Linked DNA regions of Stegostoma tigrinum. The protein of the gene in region 1 interacts with the protein of each later gene in a pairwise test. Links are inferred from orthologs where the notes say so. Each region holds a gene or a part of one and is shown in the gene's direction. Other genes may lie near its edges.

Region 1 (7,450 bases):
CTCCTGTCACCTTAAAAATATGCCCCCTAGTTTTGAACTCCCTCACTCTAAGGGAAAGAGCCTTGAATTTACCTCATCTATGCACCTCATGACTTTATTGACTTCTATAAGATTACCTCCCAACTTCCCAGGCTACAGTGAAAAAAGTCCTAGCCTATCCAACCTATTTTAATTACTCAAACTCTCCATTCCTGCAAGATTCTGGTAAATCTTTTCTGAACCCTCTCCAATTGAATATTATCCTTCCTATTTCAGGGTGACTGGAAATGCACACAGTACTTCAGAAGAGGCCTCATCCATGTCCTGTACAACCTCAACATGAGCAAAACATGACTGTTACTATTTCTGCATGATGATGGGTAGTAACTATGGATCAGCTAGTGGCATACTGAACTGTTAATTACATGTTTGTTTTTTTTAAGAGGACATGCAGTCAAATAAAATGGCTGTAAGTTCTGAGCAATGTAATTTGTGATAATAAGGCTCTGGTAGATTGAAATGGGCTGTGTGGAGTATCCTCAGCCTTGAAGTAAATCATGGAAGATCATAGCTGAAAGGTGTCAAATCAATCTTAAAGAAAATAACTTCAAAGGGACAGATGCACTGCAAACTGAACGGTAATTTTTAGACTGTGAACATGAAGAAAGAAAAGGGAGCAGTTTGGGGGAAAGGTATTTTTGTGATTAAAAGCTGATAGAAGTCCTGGTCTATAACGTGCTAGTGTATGCTGTGAGCATTGTAGTAATGAAATCCTGTTCCTGACTTTAACTGCCTTCTGAGAAGAAAAATATCTATGTAAATTTCCTCCTTCCTAAAGTTCTTCCATATCTGCAACTCCAACTCAACATCTCTGAGTCAAAGTATACCAAGCCTCAAACAATTACCATTACCATAGATATGATTGTCAGGAAGAAATTTCACAAATTCTCATATATTGTGATTATAGCATATCATAGTCACCGACCTCGTGTCTAACCTTATTAATGGTTTAATCAGCCCTGGTTGTGGTTAAAACAATGTTACTGGGGCTGAATGAGATGCATCCAGAGAAGTAAGGGTAGAATTTGTAGAATCACTAACATTAATCTTCCATTCCTCCTTAGGTGCAGGAATGGGGCCAGAGCCCTGGAGAATTGCATCTGTTATAATTTTGCTTTAAAAAGGTTGCACAGCTAATCCCTGTCTAAATTTGAGGTTTTTGATTAAGTATCAGTGAAGGTTGATGACTGCAATGCTGTCGATGAGCATTTGGACTTCCAAAAAACATGTGAAGAAACGCCACATAACAGACTTGGCAGTAAAGTTTGGGCAATGGAGTAAAAGCAACAGCAGTAGAAGGGTCTAAGCCCGAAACGTCTGCTTTCCTGCTCCTGAGATGCTGCTTGGCCTGCTGTGTTCATCCAGCTCCACACTTTGTTATCTCAGATTCTCCAGCATCTGCAGTTCCTATTATCTCTAAAACTGGCCAATGGTTATTTTTTCAGACTGGAAGTGCTATCTTGTGATGTTGTCCAGGAGTTCATTTTAAGTGCACTGCTTTTCTTTATCTATATTAATGACCGAGGCTTCGTAAGCAAAGACCAATTTCAAAATTTGTAAATTACACAAAATTTGGAAATTGTGTGAATTGTGAGGATGATGGCAATAAGCTTCAAGATTGATTGTCATGTGTATCAAAGTACAATGAAAGCTTTGTTTACGAACAGTACAGCATGTTAAGCAAGGATGTACAGATTAGAGGTTGTAAAAAGACTTAGTTAGAGGCATACAAGTTACATTGCACGGGGTATGCATCAAGTGAGATCAACATTAGGAAGATCAGCATTATTTGAGGCTATAGAGTGTGTTCAACAGTCTAATAATGGCTGGGGAAAAGTTGTTTCTGAACCTGCTGGTGAATGTATTTAGGATTCTATACCTTCTGCTTGATGGAAGAGATCACTGATGGGATATTGATGGGTCTTTCTTGATGTGGGCAACCTTTCCGGGGCAGCGAACTATAAATGGAGTCCACTGGTAGAAGTTTGGCTTCTGTGATGGTCTGGGCAGTGCACACCACTTCCTTAATTTGTTACGGTCCTGGGCACAGCAGTTGCCATACCAGGCCGTTAGACACCTGACAGTATGCTTTCAATTGTGCATCTGTAGAAGTTGCTGAGGGTCGTTATGGACATGCCAAATTGCCTGAGCTGCCTGAGGAAGATGAGGTGTTGTTGTGCCTTCTTGACTGTGGCATCTATGTGGGAAGTTCACAACAGCTTGTCAGTTATCGTCACTCTGAGGAACTTTACACTTTCCCTGACGTTCTAACCTCAGTTCCATTTATGTAGATGGGGATGTGTTCCCCTCCTTTCTTTCTGAAGTCGATGATCGGTTCTTTAGTTTTGCCAACATTGAGAGAGTTGTTCTCATTGCACCACGTTGTTGTTGGATATCCATCTTAACTGCAGTGGTATTGTCATCCATCTTGTAGATGGCATTCATTCGGAATTTAGCAACACAGACGAGAGTGTACAGGAAGTACAGTAGAGGGCTGAGGACTCATCCTTAGGGGCAGTGTTGAGTGTTATTGTGAAGGAGGTGAGTTACTTATCTTCACTGACTGCAGTTTGTGGGTCAGACAACTGAGAATCCAGTTGTGGACCTGTTATGTCAATAAGCAAACTGTAGGGGATTGAGACAGGCTGAGAGTCTGATGTGCACTGCTTTTCTTTATCTATATTAATGACCGAGGCTTCGTAAGCAAAGAGCAATTTCAAAATTTGTAAATTACACAAAATTTGGAAATTGTGTGAATTGTGAGAATGATGGCAATAAGCTTCAAGATTGATTGTCATGACCTGGAGTTGATGTAGGACATGACCAACTTCTTGAAGTAATTCATGATTACCGAGGTCAGAGCCACTGGGTGGTAATCATTAAGGCACATTGCATGCGCTTTCTTAGGTATGGGGATGATGGTGGTCTTCTTGAAGCAGGTGGAGTGTTCAGCTTATAGGAGGGAGAGGTTGAAGATGTCAGTGAATACCTCACCAGTTGTCCTTACAGGATCTGACTGCTTGGCCAAGGACACCATCTGGGTCTGTTGCTTTCTTTGGGTTGACTCTCAGGAAGACTGACCTGAAATCTGCAGCAGCGATGGAGGGAACAGGTGTCATTGTGCCGCTGGCATTCTGCTCAAACTAAGCTTAGAAAGCATCGAGCATGTAAAGAACAATTGTGTCTTTGGCCGCTATCTTGCTTTGCTGAATTTTGTATCCCATAATGTTATTTAGGCCTTCCCATGGGGACAGGAGTCTGTTTGGTAGCTTTGGGCCTCTAACTTTGTCTGGTACTCCCTCTTGTCATCCCTGGTGGCTTTGCAGAGGTCATATCTGGTTTTCCAAAAATGGTCTCTGGGTCATCTGACATGAATGGACTTAGGCAGGATGATACAATGTTTGGAAAAGGGGCACGTAAAATTTAATTCAGAGATGTGATGAAGTGATTTTAAAAGGAAGAACGTTGACAGTCAATATAACAATAAAATATAGAATTCTGAAGAGGGTGCCAGGGCAGAAGAACCCTGATCATAGAATCCCTACAATGTGGAAACAGGCCCTTTAGCCCAATAAGTCCACACTGAACCTCAGGGGATCCCACCCAAATCTAGCTCCCTATGATCCACCTCATGTACAAATCCATGAACACTATAGGCAATTTAGCATGGCCAATCCACCTAGCCTGCCACATCTGTGGACTGTAGGAGGAAACCAGAGCACCCAGAGGAAACCCATGCAGACATAGGGAGAATATGCAAACTCAGTGGTCACCCACGGGTGGATTTGAACCCAGGTTCCTGGCTCTGTGAGGCAGCAGGGCTAACCATGGTGCTACCACACCCAGGTATACATGCACAAATAATGTCAGGTGTCAAGGAGAGTAGGAAAAAGTGGTTGAATGTACAGAATTCTAGACTTTATAAATAGGGCATTGAGGACAAAACAAGCAAATTATGATAAAGCATGGATAAAAGATGGTTAGGCCTCAACTTGAGATTTAGTAGATGTTTTTAAACATCTGGACTGAGTGCATAAATGAATTGTTCTACCAGCACGTGAAGGTTTTTTTTTGTGTGATTCATCCACTTCTAACAAACACCATCTTCCTTTGTGTTGGTTCTGTTTCGAGCAACTGGAGCATCTCTCTTGATCCTTATTATACCCCTGCGGGATACATACTTTTCAAAAAGAGGGTTATCTTGGAAACGACAACAATAGCCGGTTTTTGTCGGCGTAGCATTAAAATCCCAAGATTAAGGAGAAAGATCCACTTTGCCTTTATATTGATGAGGAGCTGACTGAGGGGAGGTGATTGGGCATGCGCAGTAGTGCTGGCGCTACTCTCGCTGCCCGGTAATTGTGGAGAGGGAATAGAGGAAGTGTCAGCAAACTTGAAAGGGTGGGAAAGAAAACGTCAACGGTTAAATACATTTCCAATCAACTGTGATATCGTGCGACGAATGTTAGCGGACGAAGTATGGCTGTCAATTTTGGAAAAGTCCAAATCGGGATTTACGTCGAAATCAAACGGAGCGACGGTTAGTGGAAGTGGGGAACGGATTTTTTTTTTGAGCGCCTCTTCTCGGGATCATTGTTTAGGAGACGGTTCAACAAACATTAGCAACGGCCGCCTCTGCGCTAGAGCTGGGTGGGGAGCTGTCTGAGTGACCCTTTCTCGAGCTGAGGGCTGGGAGAAGGCGGGGGGGGGAAGGAGGGAGTTCGGTTGACAGATTATTTTTTTCCCCGAAGGTGTTAATTACTCGGTTGTCTCGGAGACGCGCCGGCTGTGCTAGCCCCGCCGGTATTTGGCGGCCGGCGTTTGTTACTGCCACCATCACGCCCTGTCGGAGCGCGCTCTCGTCGAGAAGCAGCGGTTGGGCGCGTGCGCGTTGGTGGGGGGGCGGGCGCGAGCCGGGCGAAGGCGAAGCGCTCTCCTTGTGCAAGAGTCAGTTTATTTTGGTGTTTGTGTGAGGGAGAAATTCGGACGTTTTCAGTTTTCTTTGTGTTAAATAAAAACAAGAAAATCAAAGGTTTGAAGTCGGTGATGGTGAGGAGAGTTCATTCAAAAGAGTTGGCGGGGGGTCGATGTGTTCAGACACGCCCCTCCCGTCTTCGCCGTGCGCGTTGCTGCGGCGCTGCTGCAGACTGCGCGTGCGCATTGTGCTTCTCTATTATTTGGCAGAACGAAGGGCCTGTTACTGGTGTCAACTGGGTGTGAGGCTCTTGGAAAGGAATATATGGCTTCTGTACAGACGTTTTTGATCGGATTCTGGAACCCCTTTATCAAGAAATAAAGTTTGTATTCTGGAATTTGTCTCGTTCTCCTGGACAACCTAAGTTCACAATTGTGAAAGGAGGTTCCTTTTTCGTCTGTTGTGATTTCTAAGCATTCCTAAGGAGCTAATGAAGTCCCATTGTCACGTTTCCTGCACAAGAGTAGTTTAACATCAGTTTGCACACAGTAATATCACACGTACAGAGCTAATATGTTAGCATGTGTTCTATTTGTTATTGACACTGGGAAAACCCAATTCACGTGCTGCATTAAAATTAAGACAAAGAACAGTAGATGCTGGAGACCTGAATCACAAACTGAAATTGCAGGCGAAACTCAGTTCTGAAAGCATCTTTGGGGTTGTGTACTTTGTCCTGGGGAGTTCTGATGAGTCACCAGCCACAATGTTGACTCTGCTTTCTCCCCACAGGTACTGCCAGACCTGCTGAGTTTTGCCAGCAATTTCTTTTTTTATTCCATTCACCTATGAAAAATGGGTGGAACCTCAGTCAAAGAAAGGTACCCAGGAGAGTAAAATGATTGGTCGTGCATGATGATTAACTTTTAAATATTGCTTGGTGGTATGTAGGTGCTTCACTGTCCATGATTTTTTTTTCTTCAGTTGCTGGAGAGGGAGACAATAGGCTGAGAAGGAGCTCAACCTAAAATCTGAAAAATTAGAGAAACTGGGTTCTGGCCGCATCTATAATGAGGGAAACTGTTGATATTTTGAATCAAGATTCTTTTTTGGCCTATTTCATCACCTCTTCCTCGCAACCCCTCCTTTCCCCAAAGCTATTGTTTTGTTTCTGTTCACCTGTTCCAAGCAGCCTGCCTGTCGAGGTCAGGGCTATCAGCGCCTGTCTCCCAGTTGTTAGTGTCTGTTAGCATATGTTTGACCACCTTTGACATGTTTTCAGATGTCATTGTAGAGGAAGTATGGGCATCCCGGAGGGTTAACCCAGAGCCGACTTCAGTACAGTGAATGTCTTTGGATATATGGCCATTATCTATCTGATTCATGTGACCAAGTTTGTGCTGACACCATTTAGTTTAGCACTGAGTGTATGCTGATGGAATTTTTTAATTCACTTGTGGACTGTGGGCCAGCATTGGCATGGTACCTCCTGAGTTTATGACCTTTTCTTGTCAAGACGTGCTGATGATATGCCTGAGACAGTTAAAGTGGAAACTGTTCACCCTTTACTCCTGTCTAGCATATATTGTCCGTGTCTGAACACTGCAGAGCTATGTTATTAGGATGCATGCTTGGGAGCCTTGATCAGTATTCTGAGGCTGAAATTATTCCGCACTCTTACTTTGCTTGGAAGTAACAGTTTCAGCTTTTGTAACTGGTGTTTTAATTTTCAGCATTAGGGTGATGTTGAATGTGAAGCTGTCAACCACATCCAAAGTCAGAGATAATGGGAACTGCAGATACTGGAGAATCCAAGATAAAAGTGTGGGGCTGAATGAGCACAGCAGGGCAAGCAACATCCTAGGAGCACGAAAGCTGATGTTTCGGGCCTAGACCCTTAATCAGAAAAACCCTTTTTTCTGATTAAAAGGCTTTTCTGAAGAAGGGTCTAGGCCCGAAACATCAGCTCTTGTGCTCCTAGGATGTTGCTTGCCCTGCTGTGTTCATCCACCCCCACACCTTGTTACCTAACATCCAAAGTTACTTTTCTGTTGCTGGTAAATAATGGTATCCCAGACCGTGACATTTGTTTTCCCAATACTGATGTCCATGTTACACTACAAGTTTGAGAGTCTATCTATTTACCACTGAAGGTGTTGCTCAGTATAGAATGCTTATCTGAGATTCAAAGTAAGGACAAACAGCTTTCTGCCAGTTTTGGTATTTAGCTGTAGATGACATGAAGCTAAATATCAGCAGTGAAGGGAAGAATGTGCCAGAATATGACCCTGCTTATCCTCACTGCAGATCTCGTAGGCGTCTGATATGCCAATATAGCTGACCTGACATCTTGGAAAGAGGAGGTGTCAGTGAGCAGTTTTGCTGGGCAGCCATTATTCCCTAGTGGCTTGAATAGTCTGCCACTGCTCATATGGTCACATGTCTTGTTGAGACAAATGAACACCATGTACAGTGGTCTCCTTTATTTACTGCACT
Region 2 (7,607 bases), about 91 Mb from region 1:
CTGAGAGAGTGTATCTCTAACAACATTCAAGAAGCTTGAATAACTAATAACAAAGCGGCCCATTTGATTGCCTCCACATCCAAAACATCCAATCCCTCCACCACCAACACACAGCAGCAGCAGTATTTACTGTCTACGAAATGCACTGTAGAAATTCACCAAAATTCTTGGACAGTAAATTCCAAACTTTTCACTACTGCCGTCTAGAAGGGGAAGGGAGCAGCTACACAGGAACGCTGCAACCTGAAAGTTCAGGCTTGGACTATATCGCTCTTCCTTCACTGTCAAAATCCTTGAACTCCCTAATAGCATTGTGTGTTCACCTACACAAATTTGACTCAGTAGTTCAAAAAGGCAGCTCAAGACCATCTTCTTGAAGACAGCTAAGGATGGGCATAAACACTGTCCCAGCCAACATCTGCAGAATACATTTTAAAAAACTGAAAATCTGATTGTACTTCAAAGATTGCTTATGCACAAAAAAACAGTTGGAGGAATCATGTGTTAATTTGCATTTATACAGCACTTCAAGTGTGAGAAGTGGTGCTTGTCAGGTATGTAATGCTGGTTCCTTACGATATGGCACTGACAGCCCATACTGAAGCTTACTTGCAGCAGCCTGTATATCAGTGCTTTTTGGCCAACAAGGAATTTGGATTGGCAGTAAGCATCAAAGTTGTAAGCCAGGGCTTAGTGATTTACCCTTCCATCAATATCAACAATCTCATTCTGGAAGCCATCCACAGCTTAACATCCCTTTGATCACCCATTATCAGAAATATGTCCCTTGATCTCATAATCAGAAGTAGGTTTGCCAAAGCTGCAATTGTCATGTCAAAATTGAGAATGAGAGTGTGGGGCAAACTAACCAAGAATACAAAGCTCCACATAATCCTGGCTTGTGTCTCAACACCCTTCTTTACAGTAGCAACGCATAGACAACTTAGACAGATTCTACCTCTGCTACCTAATATGAGTATTAAGCATCACCCGTTAGGACAGATTACTAAAATACAATAATATAGAGCGTGTTTGCTGTCAGGAGTCAGTGGCACCTCTTGGTTTGTTCACATGCACTGCATGGGTGACAGCTACATTTCCAAAGACATGGTCAATGATGAGTGTACTATTGGCATGAGAACAACAGGCGACCTATGTCTACAATCCAATGATCCCAAATGATCAAAATCCCAAGGGATCAGCATGAAGCATGTGAAGTCTTTGCTGCTGACCAGAGTGCCAGGAAAAAACGCAGTCAAGTAGCCTGGAAAAAGCAGTCGGTAAAGGAAATGACCAGACAGTGGAAATGACAGCCTGGAGAAAGGTAGAACATCAGATATTTTCAAACCATCCTCTTCAGAGATATTATTATAAACTCAGGTGGGACTTTAACCTAGGCCTCCTCTTTCAAAGGTAAAGATACTACCACTACACCACAAGACCCATGAAAAATGCATCAGTCTACCTCACGCTAATGTTATATATCTGCACTAAATGAAGAAATTAGACTTTAGGACTGTTGACTCCCAGCTTGATCAAAAATATATCATAAAATTGTTACTATGGTCACAGAAGCCATTTACCGAATGAGTCAGCCATTGCTTTCTGAGCATTTAGACTTAATGGTGAACCTCTTTTTCCCCATAGTCTTACACATTGCCTCTATTTAAGTGGTCATCTGTGCCCTCTTGAATATCTCAGTTGAACCTGCTTTGAATGGACTTCCAGGCATTGCATTCCAAACCCAGACCACTGGCTGTATGAAAATGTTTTTTTTCTCTCATTTCACATGATTGTCAAAATTGAAGCGATTTCAGCATATTGTACATCATGCAATTCAAAGCTATAATCATTTATGTCACATATTCTGTTGCCCTCCACAAATTCATGGGAAACTCCACACTTAGGTTTGCCCTGTGAACAGGACAAGCACAATTGACTGCAAACTGTTGTAAAATTTTAGATGTGTCAATGTTTCAGAATCTATCATGAGATATGCAGTTTTTAAATCAAAGTAAACCTCACTCAATAAAAACCGAAAGAGCTGCAGATGCTATATATGAGGAACAAAAACAAAGTTACTGGAAAAGTTCGGGAGATCTGGCAGCATCTGTGAAGGAAAAAAATAGAGTTAATGTTTTGGGTCTGGTTTTGAGAAAGGGTCACTGGACCGAAAACGTTAACTCTTTTTTCCTTCACAGATACTGCCAGACCTGCTGAGCTTTTCCAGCAACTTTGTTTTTGTTCATTGTTTAAGCCTCACTCACTATTGTGGTAGCCTCTGAAATCTCAATATCCCTCATAGGCCTTCCAAACTACCAATGGTAAAGTGGTGGTTACAAATTAATCAAAGTATTAATACAGTGGGTTATGCAAGCACTGAATTGGAAAGAAGTTTTGTTTTTAGTTGCTCATGGAATTTAGATCATGGAGAGCCATTGTCATAGTCAGAGTTGTTACTACGAGAGACCTTTAAATCCATCATGTCTGCCAATCATCAAATATCCATCTGTTCTAATCCCATTAGAATGATTAAAATGCTTATCTAAGTAGTTCTGAAATGTTGTGAGGTGTTCCCCACCATCCCTTCAGGCAGAGTTGCAGATACTCACAAGCCTCTCAGTGAACTTTTTCCCTTAAAATCACCTCTAAACCTCTTCCTTCTTACTTTAACACTGTGCTCATTGGTTATTGATTCCTCTATTAAGAGGAACTGTTTTTCTCCATATGAACTATGTTTCTCCCCTCAGAACTTTGTATACCTCAATCAGACACCCGCTCAGCCTTGTCCGTTCCAAGGAAAACAACGTCAGCCTAACTGATTTCTTATATAGTGGAATTTCTATAGCCCAGGCAATATCCTGGTGAATCTTTTCTGCATCATTTCTAGTGCAATTACATTCTTTGTGCAGTGTGACGATGAGAACTGCACACAGTACCCCAGCTGTGGCCTGACTAATATATACAGATCCATCATAACTTCATCAAAAACTGTCACTGGTTATGCAATGCCTGTATTTATAGGCCATTCCTAATTAACCCTAAACAGAGTGACACATTATTTCGTAGAACTGTTAAGAGTTATGTTAGAGGGAAGCAACATTTTATACTGTATAAAAGTGAATTCCAATTGACTAGCAACTGGATTCCAATTAATGAGGACATTGCCATGGAGAATGTATCCATTAGACAATAACTGACATTTAACTGCCACAATTTGTGTAAATTTAAAACGTGCAGGTTGACTTTTTATCAAGACATTGCCCTGATGAATGTAGCCAACAAGATATTCTGCCGATCAGACAGATAAATAATTTGGTAAGTGAATTTCAGTATTGGTCTGATGCTAAATATTTAGGTTATACATCCCAAAAACTAGGAGATGGTATCAAATAACATGTCCTTTCATCTGTTCTTAGCAAACAAAGTATTTATGCAATACTTGCTTAGTAAACCTCGAGTGTGCTAGAAAATATGATGATAACCAATGTAATTTAGTCATTTCTGCTCATAGCATGGCACACTTGTCTGCACTGAAAGGTACATATATTAACGCACAGTGTCCCCATTTGCAGACCGAAAGACCATGTCACACACTGCGCTTGTCTCTCAACAAGAGACAACTGGTTTATTAGCTGTACCGATCAGACTCCACTTGCCTCAGTTGGTATAGAAATTGATCCCTTTTACGTTTGAATTCTAATCGATATACCGATTAGTGCATGACGCAATGCTTTGATAAAATGTGTATTTTTCAGTAAAGTGTTTATTTTCACAAAATCTATTCTATTTAAGAAATTTTCTCGCAGTTTAAGTGTGTTGGCATGCTTAAAATGTTGTAGATCAAACTGATCGGATACGTAATTACACATTTCTGGAGCACGTGGGACTTGAACCCGTGACTAATAGTCCAGTGCATTGCACCAACAGATATCCACGTTTAAAATTGTAGGTACTTTCATCAACTTACGCATGGATGTTATATCTTCATGGAACGAGTGGGATTTGAACCCGAAATTGGGACACTACCACTTCACCAGTACAGCTCTATGTTTAAATTCTATTCAACAAGACTTAATTACTGAGCCCATAAGATGGGCTGAGTATGTATCTTCCAGACGAAACAAACAGTTTTTGATTTCCTTTTACTCGTGGGCCCAGCTTTGCTGCAGGAAGCCAGCATAGCCCACAGCACAAACAAAACCACTTGAATTAGCATTTTTCTGAAAGACCGATGAGACCGGGCGTTATTACTTTTGCATGGGGTCTGGGAAACCAAGTAACGCTCACTGCCAACGCACCAGTGATTGGATTGCGCATGTGGCTTGCTGCTCGGTAAAGCTCGCTGCAAAGTGCACACACATTTCCGGCGGCGTGATTTGAAAGGAAGGAGAAATGTCGGCCACCACCTATTTTGTTGGCGTAGGGAGGGGGATGGAGAAAGTGGAACGGCGCATGCGTTAGCCCATTCACACCTACCCCTGTCGCCCCACCCCCTCTATCTTCGGAACGACCGAGGACGGAAAAAAAGAAGCGGGCAGTGCGCAGGCGCAGCGCTAGCATCTAGCTGTCGATTAACATGGTGGGAGCAAAGCATGTGTCAACTTAAGAAAATGGCAGCGGTCTAGGGGGTGCAGGAGTTGAAGTGGAGGTGTGTAGTTAAACGAAGAAGAATCGGAGCCCTCCTCGGATTGAAGACGGGAGAGAAGAAGGAGAGACAGCTCCGCCTTGGGTGGTCTCGGAAGGGGAAGGGAAAGGAAAGGGAAGGGAAGGGAAGGGGGGGGGTTGTGGTTGTGGAGTAGAAGAGGCGGCGGCGGCGTGGAACCACGTTTGTTGCAACGCTCGAGTTCCGAAGGGGTGCCGCTCGTCCTTTATTTTTGAAGTCCACCATATTGTGCTGGTGGTGACGCTGGGTCGTCCTCTCCCGGTCCCTGCTTTCAATTCGCTCGCAGCTGCTTTTCGCAATCTGGAATTCCCCGCAGGACTTCGTTTTCTAATTCTCTCCTCCCTGTGCCCCCGAATAAGAAATTTCGCTGAGACATTCAACCTAAAAGAGAAAACACGTTTTCCCTCTGGAGTTTTTTTCCTTAAAAATACACGATTTGCCTGAGAGAGAGAGTATATTTTTAGGTCCTGACCGAAGGTAAGATGAGGAGGTGGACATGACTCTTCATTTTGATGTATGGCATTGAATTGACCTGTGGCAGCCGCGTTCCCCTAAATGACCGTTATGGAATCCCCGGATTCAAATTTCTCACGTATTTTGGGGATAATTTGAGAAATAAATTTCTGTGGGATCTGGGGAAACAAACAATAAACAAGGCCTGTTTCCACAGTAACAAGCTGGGTGGCGTAACAATGGTGTATAGCGAGACAATCCCGGGGAGAGGATGGGGGCCTCTGGGCCGCGGACTGACGCCCAGGCCCCGCGGAGAGGATGGGGGCTGGCGGAATGTGCCTCAGGCCCCAAGGGAGAAGATGGGGCCTCGGGGCCGGCGAAGTGTTCTTCCAGCCCTGGTGGAAGCGGCTAGGGGGGTACCGGGCCGGTGGCGTGTTCCCCAGGCCCCAGGGAGAGGATGAGATCCCTGGCCCGGCTGGGTGTTCCTAAGACAGGGCCTACTTCGGTGTGAGGCGCAGCACTTATTCGCACGTGGTGGCCGAGATCTGGTGAAAGCTTAACCAGCTGATCAGACTCTTCACTTCCTTCTCCTCCCCCCGCCCCAACACCCTAGTCTCCTAACAAGCAGCCTGAGGGGAGGTGAGCAACAGAACGCATGGTCGTTATTAACGTCAAGACCTAAATAACATGTATATTTATTACCTTAGAATACATATTCTGCAATCTCCCTGCCTTCAAGTAATATTTAGAACAGCTGTTTGCTTACACGCTGGTCCGGCTGTGTTTTATTCCCCTTTTCAGGTGTTTCTTTCGTTTTCACCCCATCCATTTTTAAATCTCCTTAACTTTGCTCTTGTTCAGGTGTGGGGGAGAATCACTTATTGCCTTTATGCTTTTACTATCAATGGCAGATTTTTAAAGTGAGGTAACGCCTTTGTAATTGCCCATCTTATATTTTAATTTAACAGTAAATCGTGACTATTTTAAAGCAAATTATTAGTGGAAGGCCGAAGGAAGAGCGGTGAATTTGGGCACCGGCCTAACCGTGCCGCGCATGATGACCACCGAAGTTGAATCGTCTCTGCCTCAGGCTGCAGATCACGGTACTTCCCTTCAGCCATCCGATAGCAGTAACGGCGGTGGCTTTGAAGAGGAGACGACCCGTGACTGCTCCACGTTGTCCTCGGCTTCTGGTGGAGACGAGGAAGCGGACAACGATCTATTGGGGAGGTTAGAGCTACAGCCCGGAGGCCGAGACCAGTCCGAACAGCGGAGCGGCCCGCTGGAGGTGGCGACTGACGCTGAGAATAAGGAAAACGATCGAAGCCAGAGGGATTCGGCGGAGAAATTGCAGAAAAAATTCACTGAAGCACCTCCTCCTAAAATCAACCCATGGACCAAGAAGAAAAACATGGTCACGAATAACAGCGTGAATGTCAACAACCAGGAGACAGGTTTGTGCTCGGGATTTGTATTTTTCAAGTATGATTGAGTTCTCTTGAAGGAAAGCTGCAAATGTGATGGTCAAGTAGCGACGACCTTTACTTCTGTAATCACCTGTAGTATGTTACTTATCGCAAAGTTGTGATTTTAAGTGGTACGTTTTCATTTTAAAACGAGCGTTTAACAATCACTTGATCTGATGTGCTATCTTAAAAAAATGCTTGGATTGTTGTATCTTTAGGTCTGGTGCAGCAAGTGGCCCATCATTTTGATTCTTTTTGGAGCCAGATCTTCTAAAATGAGTGTTTTTTTAAAAAATCTGTAGACAGTCCATGTTTTCGTGCTGTTGCCATTTTCGTAAGTGTCATTCATCCATTTTATTTACATAAAAGGGCGTCAGATTAAGCAAATCTGAAAGGTGTGGTTTGTTTACACGCACTCTGAAATAAAATTAAGCAAGATTATTATTTTAAATTAAATAACCTTTGGTAACATCGGCGTTTTTTGTGTAGTTGTTGGAGGAAGGACGTAATTGGCTAACTGCATGTTTATTCCAGGGAACTTGATCAAATTTGAGTTTGACGCAACTGTATACATGATAATTAGGACCTATGCTTTGCTAACTTAAATTATAAATTTAGAAAGTCAACAGTTTTGATCTTCCTACTGTTAAAGTGATATCACCAAGTCGACGATAAAAATCCAAGTTGCTGTACCCATAATCCTACCTGTGGTTTAAAACTTTGTTTTTTTTCTGTGAATAATGTCTGTTTCCAACAGACTGTGTTCATTTTTTAATTTAGAAAAATATGAATTTGTTAGATTTCTCTCCGATCCATCTATCCCAATTCTTTTGCAGCTATTCCCTCTGAAACTAGTGGCCGATTTTGCTGACGAAAGCACATCTAGTATTACAGCGCAGTTTGAATGACGCCCGTTCTCTCTCCCCCCGCCCCCCACCGTTTCTGATCAAATTTCGGTCTACCACGTGTTCTACGACTGAGCAGGCAGTGTTTCATGGGAGGAACTTGGCTTTTTATGATGC
Region 3 (7,996 bases), on another chromosome or scaffold:
GCTATTCCTCAACTCTTATAGTAACAGTTTTTTTTTAAAAAATGTCATTTGGGGGACTACAAGAGAAATCAATCAATGCAACATGAAGAAGACTCTAATATTGTAAGCCTAACAGTCTCTCTCCCTGTAAACACCAACACCAAGCCCCCCACCTCCCACAATCTGCCAAATCATGGGAATGAATGTTAATGATAGAAAGATATATCTGATGGTTCATAATAGCAATGAGAGACAGTTACTTTCAACCATTATTTAAATTATTGGGATTCCCCTTCCAGGGTAATCTGAGGGACCCTGGGCCCCACTCAGAAGTGGAAGACATAGGCCCTTCGATGAGTTTTGTGATTGACAATAAGTAGTGATTTGATCAGGTTATCTGTTACCATGCAGGATGGTTTAGATATGTCCTAACTTATTATTAAGCTCACACAGTGATCAGATGCCTAGGTCCTATTCACAATATTGTCAGTAATATTGATCTCGTAGCATGTCAGACATTAGTAATTGCAATGTGTATATTGATCAGCGAGTGTAGGATTTTGATAAGTACTGGTTAAGAATCCATTGTCAGACTTCTCAGCTAATGCATCAAGGAAAGGGACCTCATTTGATTGCTCCAGTGCAATGGTAAATTTGAGCACAAGTTGGATCCTATTATGCCGTGTAAAGAAATTCTTTGATGCAGTTACAGATTTGCGTATTGCAAATCTGTCACAATGCCAGGGAGTAGAAAGTCAGTGCTCTTTCCAGCAAAGGTATTTTGTCATGGTGCCCAACAAAGATGCAAACTCGGGCAGGATCTAGACAGTGTCATGTGGTAATGCCATCGATTTGAAAGTACATAGTGTCATTAAAACTGAACACATTAATGTGAGTTGTTAATTTCATGACATTGGTGAATATCTTGATTGCCAGGAGGTAGTGATATAGTCCAAACATCATTGGCTTATTTGTATGGTATGTTGCTAAATAAATTGGTTTTCTAAACCTATGTGCCTGTGTTTGGCCAATATCCCTCTAAACCTTTCCTATCCGTATACCTGTCAAAATGTCTTTTAAATATTGTAATTGTACTTAACTCTCCCACTTACTGTGGCATTTAAGTTAGATCCATGCACCACCCTCTGTGTGGAAAAGTTGCTCCTCCAGTCCCCTTTAAATCTCTTCTCTCCCACTGAAAAACTATGCCCTTTTGCTTTGGATTCCCCTACTCTCAGGAAAAGACCTTGGCCATTCACCTTATCTGTGACCGTCACAATTCTATGAACTTTTACAAGGTCACCCCTCAGCCTCTATGCTCCAAGCAAAAAAGTCATAGCCTCTCCTTTTAACCTTCCAGTTGTAAATCTTTTCTGAGCCGCCTCCAGTTAAGAGGAGGTGAGAATTCGTGGCGTGGATGGCTGAATACATGCAAAAGATATCAAAGATATGAAAGAGGCAAGAATCGGGAAGAGCACAGAATTCTGACAGGGTTGCATTGGTGCAAACATCACTGCCACCTGGATTTGTGCTCTGGCTACTGTCTCCATGGGCTGTTCTGATCCCATGGACTCAAGCCTGCATTATTCTACCCTCATGGATTCTACCTACAATGAGGTTCAGGGCATCGGGTGTCTGTAATGCACGCTAGAGGCTACTCCTCAGAATTATGGAGGAGCAGGATGCCATTCAGCCCATCGTGCCTGTACCACCTCTTCAAATGATCATTATTACATCATTACAAGCTCCTGCTGTTTCATACCCTTGCACAGTATTTCGATCGAAATACTCATCCAATTCCCTCTGCACTGTCTCAATTGAACCTGCCTCCACCAAACTTCCAGGCAGTGCATTCCAGAAAGAAACTACTCACTGAGTGAAAACGTTCTTTCTCACATCACCTTTGCACATCATTTTAAATCCATTTTCTCTCATACCTCTTCCTCTTACTGTTGGGAACAGCTTCTCCCTACCTATTTTGTCAGCCTGCACATGGTTTCGAAAACCTCTATCAGATCACCTCTCAGCCTTCTTCTTTCCGAGGAGAAGGGTTCTAAATTCTTCAGTCTATCCTCATCACTGAAATTCTTCATTCCTGCAGTCAATCTTGGAAACACTTTGTTAGATTGTCCCTTCTCAAGAGTTTGCTCCATCTCTGTCCTTTACCTTATCTCGTAAGTTCCTAAAAACTCTTAACATTCCAACATGCAGAATACTGGAAACAGCTCTCCAGTATCACTTTTCCACTCCTCCCTCTGCAAAATCTTGATAACTATTGACATCAGGAAACACACGTACCCACTAACACAATGCTGCTGTCAAGCCAAAAGGTTGTTAAGCTTACCACACAAATAACTAACGTGATGTGAGTTTCAGTGTTGGTGCTGTGTTAGGTATGTGGGCTTTGTATCCAATAACTGGTGGGTCAAATTAAACACACACCTCATTGACCATTCACAGTGGACACCATGCAAAATGTGCTTAATCAGTCTGTTCTTACGACACACAGAAAATCATGTCCACCATTAGAAGTGATGTTGCGACTGGAATTACTTTACTGAATAATCTTGACTATGCTAATAGTTGCACTGGAAACCAATTTAAAATCGTCAGTGTGATGCATTTACAAGTGTCGGAAGTTATATGTACAGGACCTTGTTTGATATAGGCAAAAGGACTTTGGCCATACCTTGCACCTTCTTCAAAACTGGACTCATAGAAACAAGTGTGGAGCTGGATGAACACAGCAGGCCAGGCAGCATCAGAGGAACAGGAAAGTCAACATTTCGGGTTGGGGCCCTTCTTCAGAAATGGGGGTGGGGGAAGGGAGCTCAGAAATAAGGAGAGAGAGGAGGGATGGGGCTAGCCAAGGTAGTTGGGAAGGTGATAGGTGAGTGCAGGTAGGGAGTGGTAGGGATTGGTCAGTGAGTGAGGTGGGAATGGCAGATAGGTGGGAGAGAAGATGCACTGGTCAAGGAGGTGGGGATGAGAGGGAGGGTTGGATACTTACAGTCTGACCCCACAACTAAAGATATATTTCCCTTCCAACCCCCATCTGTGTTTTGTAGGGACCGCTCTCTCTGTGACTCCCTCATCCACTCCACACTCCCCATTAGCCCCACCACCCCGGCACCTTTCCCTGCAACCGCAGGAAGTGCTACACCTGCCCCTACACCTCTCCCCTCACCTCCTGTTAAGATCCAAAACCTTTCACATCAGGCAGGTGTTCAGCTGCACATTCGTCAATGTGATTTACTGCATCCGCAGCTCCCAGTGTGGTCTCCTCTACATTGGTGAGACCAAGCAGAGGCTCAGAGACCGCTTTGTAGAGCACCTACGCTCTGTTTATGAGAAACGACAAGACCTTCCATTCATGAACCACTTCAACTTCCCCTCCCAGTCCTGGGGTGGCATGTCCATTCTGGGCCTCCTCCAGTGTCACAATGACATCACCCGCAAACCGGAGGAACGTCTCATCATATTCCGCCTCGGGAGCCAACAGCCCGATGGCCTAAACATGGAGTTCACTGGTTTTAAAATCTCCCCAACCCCTGCCTCATCTCACGTCCAACCCTCCCTCTCATCCCGCCTCCTTGACCTGACACAACTTGTCCATCTTCTCTCCCACGTACCCACTCCTCCCATCTCGCTCACTGATCAATCCCCACCACTCCCTACCTGCATTCACCTATCACCATCCCAGCCACCTTTCCCAGCCCCACCCCTCCTCTCTCTGCTTATTTCTGAGCTCCCCTCCCCATTTTTGAGGAAGGATCTAGGCCCGAAACGTCAAACCTTCCTGCTCCTCTGATGCTCTATGGCCTGCTGTGTTCATCCAGCTCCACACCTTGTTATCTCAGACTCCAGCATCGGCTGTTCTTACTATCTCTGATTAGAAACAAGTGAAGCATCCCCAGTTGTAGCACCCAACCAATCAGATTCTACCTGACTGGCCTGAGAATCTGAGATAACAAGGTGTGGAGCTGGATGAACACAGCAGGCCAAGCAGCATCAGAGGAGCAGGAAGGCTGACGTTTTGGACCTAGACCCTTCTTCAGAAAGACCCATTTTCTGAAGAAGGGTCCAGGCCTGAAACGTCAGCCTTCCTGCTCCTCTGATGTTGCTTGGCCTGCTGTGTTCATCCAGCTCTATACCTTGTTATCTCAGATTGTCCGGCACCTGCAGTTGTTGCTATCTCTGGCCTGAGAAAAAGTTTGGCAGTTAACTGTTTTTGATTGTTTCCAAGGCAATGACCAATCAGCACCCTCTTCTTCTGCCTGTATTAAACAGTGTCCTGTTGGTCAAGCCTGTTTCTTGCCTCCCAATCCTTTTGAGGGCAAGATTACAAACCTTCAATGTCATATCATTTATCAGTGATCTTTCAGATTCTCCTCAAAACCTACATCTTTAACCAAGTTATTTGCCCCGGTCCCTTGTTCAGTGTTCCTGTGTGCCTGGGTTTTCAAAGTCATGATATTGTACAAAGGCAAGTTGTTGAAAAGTTACGGAAAATGCATTAAACCTGAGTGACAGAAGTTGTTTAATTTGTCTTTTTCATCCTTGTAAATAATGTTCCTACTGACCAGTATGCTTGCTTTTTTTTGAGGGGGACTTTTTAAAAAAAATGTAGTGAGGATCAAATGATGAGTATATGAGGAAGCTGCAAGTTGAGCCTCATTCAGGCTGGAATTGGCCGGTTTGCTGCTGACAAGACGTGCAGGCGAGCATATTTACGTGCGTGTAACTGCGCATGTAGGTCCAGCGACCGAGGGTCAACAGTGGATACAAGCGAGAGATGCTGGTAACGGCTCCTTTTATCGCAGTCATGCTGCCCGGAGCCTTTCTGCTGAACTGGGCTCGTTGATGTTGAAAATGAACAACACGTTTATTACAGAACTCTGCCCAAAGAATACGGGGGGAAGAGAGAGAGAGAGAAGGCTTCACCTCTATCTGAATGGATTAAAAATACATTCTGCTGACTTTTAGTTTGCAACTGATTTAAACCCACGCTGGCGAATGCGAAACAAAAATCAATATTCCTCCCCAGGAGGAAGACAGCTGCTGCAAATGTAGACTGATGGATTGCCTGGCTCAATCTTTACTATCCTTTCCGGGATTTTATGAATGGACTGCACTGGGAGGGGCCAATTGTCAGCAGAGATGATGTCAGCAGGCTCGATGAAACTATTGTACAGATGCAGCAGGGTATTCATGAGACTATAATTTCAATGCTTTGTCAGATTGGCTGGCTGACAAGCACACAGACTGCTGACGGAATGAGTGTTCCCCGCTGCTGGCTTGACTCACGATTGTGCTGGTTAAAGGTGTTTGAGCTGCAGAGCGCCAGCAGCATGTCAGTCCTCGCGAGTAGATGGTTTTAAACTGGAAGTGGCCCTTCACCCGAGTGCTTCAGGGTGGAACCGCATCTCTTTGCCCCCGCACCCCCCCCCCCCACTCGCCAGCCTTGGGCAGGCCTGGCGTCCGTGCTAGCAGCATTTCATGGCATCATGTTCTGCTTTTGTTTGCAGAACTCCTTGATGAAGCTGCAGAGCTTTGACATTGACCTGTGCTCGTCGTTTTTACCGAGCCCCGAGGAAAGTCCTGGGACACAAAGAGGCAAGGAGCAACCCCCTCAAATCAATCGGAACGGGGCTGCTGATGAAGGAAGCAGTGGGGGTAAGATACTTAATGCATTTACAGCAGACTGTTAAAAGATTTAATGTCTTATTGTTGGATGCAGAAAGTGTCCTGTGCTTTGCTGTCCAAATGGACGCCTTAAAATTCATTTCACGTGCTTTAGCAAAACTGCTGTCTTACAAATCCAGGGTGTCAATCATTTTGTTATCTTGTTTTAAATTCAGTTTTGTTGTGCTTTTTTAAAATCATTGAAGTGGATGTTGAGTTTCCTTTACGACAATGAATGTCTGTCCTTCCGTTCCAGTTTTGTTTTATTTGATACGTTGTTTTGTTTTATCAGAGCGCGCTGCCCCAATTATTGATTTCAAATTAATGCACCGGCAGGATAGTGACGGTGAGTACCTTCTGTCGTTACACACTACCATTTGAAACTCGGAAACCTGCCCTTTTAACCCAGTCACATTACTGCTTGTCTCCCTTAATAACCGCAGCGTGTGTGTGTGTGTGTGTGTGTATGGGGGGGGGGGGTACCTTATTTATATTGTACCCTCACTTACACTCTACAGACACGGTGTGGATTAGTTCAGTAATACTTGGTCATGAGCAGGAGCCGGTCACAATTTGTTTCTTTCGCGTACAAACCAGATTTTCATTTTCGTTCATAATTGGGTTGTGTTCTTGAGTTTGAAAGGGCTGATATCACCGTTTTGCTCAGCTTTTGAGTGCTCAAGCCACGCACGTCAATCGTTCCTGTCCACTACATAGCCACAGAGTAGTCCCAATGCATGAACGACACTTGACCCATTTAGAAACGAGTTGGAAGCATTTGTTGGAACTGGATGACAGCCTCCGTGTCATGGAGTTAGCGGTGATATTGGTTCTTTAAAAGCTCACGGGTTGAAAGTCAGATTTTGAATGTGTCACGTTCTTTCAAGAGATTTTGTTTGAACAATGCAGGCTGTAATTGAATTTGCAGGTGTATTGGCACAGGATTACGAAAATAACTGATTTCACTATAAATTCATGAGGACCTGGTTTAACAGTGACGCATAAGCTCAGCTGGGAACTAGTCCGAAGGGCAATGGATCCATTCAAAAGCTGGATTTTTTGAGGGGTAGTTATCTCATTGCAGACTTATACTTTAGATGTTTATAGATCAAGCACTTAATATTTGCTGACTCCTGTGTGGTCATGTGCTGTTTACATGGAAATACAGCTATTAAATGCTCTTTGGACTGCTGGTTTGGATGGTAATAAAATCACAAGATGCTCTTTATTATAAGCCTAAAGCAATATTTCTGAATCTGAAGCAATTAACTTTTGACTAGAGACCTCCATCAGGTAGTAGAGGGTTTGAGGTGTGTTTCATTCTGATGAAGATGAAATCCAAAAACAAAGCTCTGAACAATTGCAAGACCGCAGTCAACCGTATCACTCATTACCCAGACAGGTTGGGAAGCTAAGCACATAAAAGGAGGTCAATGCAGTGTGTATGACGTTGTAAATGATCCAGAACAGCCAAGTAGCAGGAGCATATCCTGACGTAAATTGTGTGAAATCAAGTGTCAGGTGTATGTGAGTTATCCCAGCGTGAATAGAATGGTGTCAACGTGCAGTGACTGAAGCTACCGAATGTTAATGTAAAGGGGACCCAGTATCTGTGATATAGGACTGGGGACACAGCGGAGATTCTCTGTTTAGTCCAGAGAAGAGTCGTGAATGGTAATAAATAGAGATGTGACTCGGTTGATCATGTACCACCACAGGGTTTGAACCTTTTTTTTTGTTTGCACAGATGCAGGTGAGATTTTAAAATTTCAGTGCGGCTTTTTGAAATGGAGTTATTTTAGATTTTTCACGGTTTAACAGGCCTTCCTAATGCTCCTCATTGTCCACTGGGAAGATAATTGTCAGGAGTAGAAGGGTTGGTAAAAACAGAGCGGACCAGGGAAGCATAGCAAGGCATGAAGGTGCATTGTGCGGGGTTGAGAGATTTTTGCGAACAAAAGGAGCTGCAATAAAAGCTTTTAAAGAAAAGAAACAAAGCGACTCACCCACAGCAGTCCCTTGAGTCACTGGTTAAATAGCTCGATGCCTGCTGTCAACGTTTGAGCTGCCGGCTTCAACAGGGTGTTGGGATCCTGTTCATATTGAGGTGCTAATTAGCATATTCAAATGAGCATGTCAAGTGAAGCAGAGCTGCCGTGGGCAGTGCAGGAGGACCGACTAGTGTGATTCTTAGTAGACAAGAGTCTAGCTCTCTAAGCGGGTGGTGGAAGGGAAATTGAGCCCAAGGTACATTTTAACATCGCTCGACGTCCAACGTACCTGAAAGAGATTGGCCTGCAAAATGTTCACCCAATTCCATTTCAAGTTGCCA

What was found.
Region 2: the proteins of kif2a (region 1) and la-related protein 1B-like interact in binary tests that used the Homo sapiens proteins (3 or more experiments, as listed by UniProt). The two-hybrid records come from large-scale screens. The link is inferred for Stegostoma tigrinum from reciprocal best matches to the Homo sapiens genes KIF2A and LARP1B.
Region 3: the proteins of kif2a (region 1) and fam13c interact in binary tests that used the Homo sapiens proteins (3 or more experiments, as listed by UniProt). The two-hybrid records come from large-scale screens. The link is inferred for Stegostoma tigrinum from reciprocal best matches to the Homo sapiens genes KIF2A and FAM13C.

Annotation. Positions count from the first base shown.
Region 1 is NC_081354.1:120,260,524-120,267,973, reverse strand, and holds the start of kif2a (kinesin-like protein KIF2A), read left to right. Parts: upstream 1-4,372; 5' UTR 4,373-4,518; coding exon 4,519-4,579; intron 4,580-7,450. UniProt on the Homo sapiens protein: Plus end-directed microtubule-dependent motor required for normal brain development. May regulate microtubule dynamics during axonal growth. Required for normal progression through mitosis. Required for normal congress of chromosomes at the metaphase plate.
Region 2 is NC_081354.1:29,669,826-29,677,432, reverse strand, and holds the start of la-related protein 1B-like, read left to right. Parts: upstream 1-4,504; 5' UTR 4,505-4,651; intron 4,652-4,796; exon of another isoform or gene 4,797-5,143; intron 5,144-5,160; exon of another isoform or gene 5,161-5,758; intron 5,759-6,087; 5' UTR 6,088-6,173; coding exon 6,174-6,573; intron 6,574-7,607.
Region 3 is NC_081373.1:50,601,937-50,609,932, reverse strand, and holds the start of fam13c (protein FAM13C), read left to right. Parts: upstream 1-4,905; 5' UTR 4,906-5,099; coding exon 5,100-5,303; exon of another isoform or gene 5,304-5,486; coding exon of another isoform or gene 5,487-5,507; coding exon 5,508-5,655; intron 5,656-5,956; coding exon 5,957-6,010; intron 6,011-7,996.